Linked DNA regions of Saccharomyces cerevisiae S288C. The gene in region 2 interacts genetically with the main gene of each other region. Each region holds a gene or a part of one and is shown on either strand. Other genes may lie near its edges.

What was found.
Region 1: mutations in YOR072W-B (region 2) and VIK1 together harm fitness more than expected from each alone (negative genetic interaction), as found in Saccharomyces cerevisiae (one large-scale study listed by BioGRID).

Annotation. Positions count from the first base shown.
Region 1 is NC_001148.4:70,563-74,635, forward strand, and holds VIK1 (Vik1p), read right to left. Parts: upstream 2,445-4,073; coding exon 501-2,444; downstream 1-500. Other genes in the region: HFI1 (Hfi1p), read left to right, coding at 1-389; YAH1 (adrenodoxin), read right to left, coding at 2,801-3,319; ATG41 (Atg41p), read right to left, coding at 3,747-4,073. UniProt on the Saccharomyces cerevisiae protein: Together with the minus end-directed microtubule motor KAR3, plays a role in microtubule organization. Recruits KAR3 to microtubules, and together they may stabilize the polymers. The KAR3-VIK1 heterodimer cross-links anti-parallel microtubules.
Region 2 is NC_001147.6:462,712-465,130, forward strand, and holds YOR072W-B (uncharacterized protein), read left to right. Parts: upstream 1-1,757; coding exon 1,758-1,919; downstream 1,920-2,419. Other genes in the region: SGO1 (Sgo1p), read left to right, coding at 2,060-2,419.

The DNA.
Region 1 (4,073 bases), on a different chromosome or scaffold from region 2:
ATGAATGTGCCGATGAAGCCAAAAGTATTAATAACGGCAATAACAGTAGCAAGGACGATATTGGCGACATATCAATGAGCAGCATTACAAAGGCTGGCGAAGCAGTTAATGAGGAGTTACATGAAAACAGAACGATATCATTAACGAATGAAGACATATATGATTCGTTATCTATATTTCCGAATTTGGTTGAACCTTCAGGTTCATACTATGCGTTAACTAATTTAGGGCTAGTTAACGATGATGAACTAGTAGATATGAAGAGCAATATTGACGACTTGCCGGACTTCTTAAATGAAAAGCCGACTTTCACGCCTTTGGATGAAAGAAACGTTGGTACAAGGCATGAATTAAATTGGTTAATTAAAGGAATCTTAACGGAAGATTGATGTATAAAAAGTGTGTGTATGCGGTATGTTGTAATTATATTGAAAGATTATAAACCTTATTTGTTTCATATCTAAATGGCTGTGTTAAGAAAGACGATAATGTGACCGAGCTTAAGTGAGCTTTTTCTTTCTTTTACAAAGTTGTGTTTGAACTTCTTCTGAAATCGTTAATAATTTATTGACATTTTTTGAATCGTTCAAGTTTAGCAAGAAAAAGGATTTAGTATCAGAAATTAGTTTTTTCAGAACAAGTGCAATAGGGGTCTCGCATGATTCCTTCTTAAAGATGCTTTTATCAAACTGTTCAATGGACTTCAGATTATTTAACTCGATAAAATAAAAGTCCACCGGTACGGGGTCATTGTTGCCATCGCTTTTTGAATCTCGAGGAAAAAACTGCACCTTGATTATACCCATCCCAGAATGAGGTAAATTTGGGTGTTCATCACAACTAAAATTTAAGGGCAAATCTTCGAGTCCATTTTCTATGATGACAAGTTTGGAATCCAAAGAAATTGAGTGTTTTTCAAATTTCAACTTTATGCTATCTTTATCATTGTGGGAATAATCCAAGAGCATGTCCTGAGAAAATTCGTCATCTGATAAAAATACAAACTGTAAGGTGATCACATATTGTTTTTGATATATTGTATCCTTTTCGGCCAAAAATTTTATTAGAGACTCTCTCAATGAGCCATGTGGAGTGGTGCTTAGAGATATTAAGTTGAAATTTTTTTTTTGGTTCAGGCACATATCATGGTAAACGCTATACTCTTGAGTGAAAAATTTATCTTCAGAAACTTTTAAATGCGGTATCACCCTATTAAATTTGTAAACATGTTCGCTTAGACCTTGGGTTATTACGCCATTTTCGTAATCAAATAAAAGGTTCTCAGGCAAATTTTGCTCCATCACGTAAGCGTAACAGCGCATCGTGCCTTTTTGTTCAATAATAGAGTTTTCAAGTCTCCTACTCCGCAGGAGTTCTTTTTCCACAGTGTTATAGGTATCATTATAAAATTTTTCCTGTTTAGAGGCCATTTCTTTCAAATTTTCCATTTGGTTTTGTAAATGTTCCAAATCTTGCGAGTTTTGTAAGGATTTGCTTATTAGTGGGTTGTTTGCCAATTCCAATTGTTTTATATTTTCATTTATTTCTGAGATGTTTTGTTCCGAATATTCAGCTTGTCTATCTATATCCATGATCTCCTTGTGTAACTTCTCACTTTCCGATTGTAGAGTGGCTATCTGATCAAGTAATTCACGATGTTTGTTTGTCAAATTTTCCATGGATTTTAACTTAGCTTCTTTGAATGCAATAAAATCCTTCCTCAATTGTGATTCGTGGTTTACTTGTCTTTCCAAGTTTTGCTTCTGTAAATTCGCCCAATTTATGTTGAGCTCTTGCAGCGTTTTCTTCAACTGAGATATTTCCTCTGTGATTTCGTGGTCAGGCTCGACATTTTCCATTATTTGCAGCTCATTTTCCCAAAAGATAAGCTTATTATTGTACAATTCTTGAGATTCCTGCCTTTTCAAGATCAGATTCTGGTCGAGTTCAGCCTGCAAGGTTGCCAAAGCGGATTTGTTCTTCTTAATTAAATCAGCGCGTTCACCGTCCTTGGAGTTCAGATTTTGCGTCAAATCTCTAACCTGTTTGAGATACTTTGCTTGTTTGGATTTTTTCTTATAAAGTTCAAACCTGGACTTATTGAGATCTCGAAACTTGATGGTTTTGATTTCTCTTTCGCACTCAATCAATTGAGTCCTGAGAGTATGTCTTTGGAACCTTATTTTGTCTTGGCGGTCTTTTAAGTCCTTAATTTTGCTCATGTTGATGTTTAATGATGCAGATCGAGATACAGATGGGAAGGAATCCTTTACGGGTGGAAGAGCCAATGAACTCTTCATAGACGAAGGTCTAGAGCCATTCATGGTGTTTGTCGTGTTTGTGATATCCATAAGGTTTCGAGATTTTGATGAGGACACATTATCGGGATTGTGAAAGATTCTATTCTTTGAAAGAAAAGCGTGTTTGTTTTGCTGTGACGCCATAAAGTACACTGGTCAGGAAATGGTGCTTTTGCGAGGAGAATGTGTGTGTATGTGTGTGTTGTTAGGGCATTTCATATTCTATATTCATTGTTTTTTTGTTTTTTTTGTTTTTTCAGTTCTTTGTTTACCTATTTTTTCTTTGCCGCAATTGCAAATATTATTAACTTAATTGCGATTATTGAGACTAAACAATAAAGACCTGGCAGTGGAGGCATGACAGAGGATATCGCGAAACGATTGTTTAAGAGTATATTATAAAGTTGACTTGTTTCCTTATAATTATAATTATAAATATATATATATAGATTATTCACAGGAGAAATTGGGGGCACAAATGAGGGGTAAAAATGCAGACATTAACTAAAATCGTTGTTATTAACGTTTCTTGTCATCTGGGGCAGAGCGACTCTAATCCCATCGATATCTTTTGACATCTTAATCTGGCACCCAAGCCTGCTTGTCTCTGTTAGCCCGTAAGCAAGATCGAGCATATCGTTTTCATCATCTTCAGGTTCCGGCAGGGCATCGTAGTAGTCTGGATCAACGATGACGTGACAGGTGGAGCAGGCACAAGAACCGCCGCATGCGCCCTCCATGTCCAGGTTGTGACCTTGAGCGATGTCCAGGATGGTTTCGCCCTCACAGACTTCGTACGTCTTCTGGGAGCCATCCTTCAGAATAAAAGTTATCTTCAGTTCTTCGCCTGGTTTCGGTTTTTTCAAATGGCCATGGTTTAAGAACGAAGACGTAGAGAAGGGCAGAAATCTTGTGGTTGTGGTGGTGCGTGTGAGCAGAGATGGAGAGGTGCGTAAAAGATGTGCTGCGATGTTCGATATTCTAGCTGTGTGTCCAGCCCGAGTAACAATTTTCAGCATTGGGGGCGGGTTGAGTATAGATACGAGAAGCGCCTATTTCGTATGAGGTTTTTTTTTTCTATTATTATGTATATTAGGCATATATATACATATATATATTTTGCATACATATTCATTTTTAAAAAAATGCAACTGCTACACGCTTTGAAAGATTCAATGAAAAGTTTTTCCGACGACCAGAATTGGCTAGCAAAAAAACGAAAATGTAATGGAGTCATGCAAACATGACTAATAGTAACAAAAAAAAAAGATATAGTAGAATTGAGTAAGTAAGTTCTATGTATATTGTTGTTATTTTCTCTAAAAAAAAAAAAAAACTATGTAAAATTAGGAATTAAGAATATGCTTGGAAGGAATGCCGATTTAAAATGTGTAGGATATGCGATGCAAGGGGTCGTGAGAACAAGTAGAGATGTGGTAAAATGCGTCATACCGATGACAACCACAGTCTGTAGTTCTGTTGTGCGACATTGGCAAAGGCATCGTTACTTGCAAAGGCAAACCCAGAGGCAGAGTTAGATTCCTTACTAGCAGCAGCAACTGCACTGGCGGCGTTGCCGTTAAATTCCATATCGAACATGCAATCGTCTTCAGTACTCGTTATTATGTTGCTGTCCGTCTTATCTTTAGTGTGCGTGCATTCTGACTCATCGACAATCGGGTACGATAGCGGAAAAGTTAGCAATTCTTGCTGGTAAGATTGAGAAAAGTCATCGGCATAAGTCGATCTGTCCGGGCTATGCGAGAGCATAGG
Region 2 (2,419 bases):
CAGGTCCCAGACTTACAACAAGGTAGATAGGGGGGCGCACCTTGTCGTCATGAGACCCATTTCGTAGAAACTTGAATTTGTTGTTGTTACTTCTGTTTTCAAGTAGGAGTAACGAGGCCGCGTACAATTTGCCAGTGGATTTGTCGCCTGCAGCAGCGGCCGCGACGCGACGGGTTGATCCAATTTTGTGCTTGCTTCTTCAACTGAATATTTTGAGTCCACTGCATGTGGAAAACAGAGTTTTCAGTCAGTCTTGTATGTATATTATTCTCTTTAGCTCCAGAATTTCTGCTGTGCTTAGTAACTTCTTGCCGTTGAGCTGATTTTAGTAGTATAATTTTTTTGCAACTCTACTGATATCAAGAGCAGTGATATGTGCTTTAATGTTGGCATTTCTTTCAAGCCAATCACCTTCTACCATTGGTCACGGTCTCAGTATATTTGTCGTAAATATTAGTACTCTAGTCTGGTCAGAGAAGTGGCCTTTCTCCCACCAAAACGTTGTTGTTCTGTCTTTTTTCTTATTATTTACTATTTATTGGATTTATCAAAAATTCCTCAGGAACAAGATTTAATATTCTTGAAAATCCTGTATGTCATAAATCATGAGCTTGGAAATTGACACGAAATATCGGATGGCACTACTTGATGATCGTTTTTATCACTACCGCTGTACTTTAATTTCATAATTTATTTGGTGACATTTCTCTTGAAGATCTGGCAAGATGTACACGGGGAGCTCCTTCAACTGTTAAAAATATTTTTAAAAGTAAAGACGTCACCATACTTTTTCACCATAAGAACAATTACTGGTCCAGATTAAGAACGGTTGGAGTAAGAGCCAATTATCATTCATTGACTGGTATTTCCTTTTGAACTATATTATCATATAATAGGTAAGAAGATGGCAAAAAGGAAGGAGAAACAGTGGTCTGATGTGATAGGGAAGTAAATGTCAACAAATACCTAACAGTACTATCTGATCGAACAAAGAAATTCCACCAAACTGTCAGTAAATTTATTTAATGAGCAGCAAGGACATAGTGCACAACTAGCACTCTACTTCGATTGGGTTATTGAGGAAGAGGATAGTATGCCCGGAATTTTCAAGCATTTACATGATTATGGTTTCATTGGGGTGCAAGAAGACCCAGCATGATTAGATTGCTATGTACTCATTATATAATATATCTCCGATGAATATATTTCCGAAAGTTTACTGAAGGCGACCTTGGATAAACCATAGTTTTACGGCAAATACACCATATCACTATTTTCTTTCTATATAGCTTTGCTAAGGCTTTTTTTAGTGACCGAGACAAAGAAGAAAATTTTCCATAAATGAAAGACCATTGTTTATTCCGAATCAAGTTTTCCGAAGAATTGTTGTATTACACAGTCCAGAGACAGCAGAATCTTTCAGAAATTTTAATACTGTTGTGACAGCATCTTGTCTATTATTTATTGGATACGCAAAACTCATTTTTTTAAAATTTTTTTTATAATTTCCTTTAAATAAAAAGGTTAAAGCTGGGAAAAATGCATCTAAATAATAAACTAATGATTTAGTTTCCCTCATTTAAAATATCTAAGAAGGACAGAACTTTGTTTGGGGTACTTACCCTTGAGTATTTTTAGCGATTATTCTTGGAGTTCTCAGCCAGAAGATTAAAAGAATATATGTTACTGAATGCAGTGTGATACTCAAGACTAAGTAGTCTTAACAACAAGTTAACAAGGGCGTGTGGTCTAGTGGTATGATTCTCGCTTTGGGCGACTTCCTGACTAACAGGAAGACAAAGCATGCGAGAGGCCCTGGGTTCAATTCCCAGCTCGCCCCTTTTATTTTTGATTATTTATTTCCTATTGGTCGGGTAACAGATTTTTTTTATTTTTTTCAAGGCCCTTTTGTTTTGTAAACAAAGAAATTTCACAAAGTGAGCGTCTACTAATATTGATAATGCCATTTCCACATTACAACTACTGCTAGGCGCAGGGTTATATTACTTACACACGCATATATATGTTTAATTGGGTATAGAGGGGTTATTGTTTGACCATGCCGAAGAGAAAAATTGCTCCTAACAAGGAAAGCAGCAGGCGTACGGTCTCCCACGATGATTTAACCCCACAAATACAAGAATTTCAAAACCTAATGGATCTCGAATCGCAAAAAGTGGAAAACATCAGACAGTCGTATTCGAGGCAAAACTCCCTGCTGGCCAAGGATAACTCCATATTAAAAATTAAAGTTAATAGCTTGGAAAAAAAAATAAGCCAGCTGGTACAAGAAAACGTGACTCTACGATCTAAAACCTCTATAAGCGAAGCTATCTACAGGGAACGGTTAAGTAATCAACTACAAGTCATTGAAAACGGTATTATTCAAAGATTTGACGAAATTTTTTATATGTTTGAG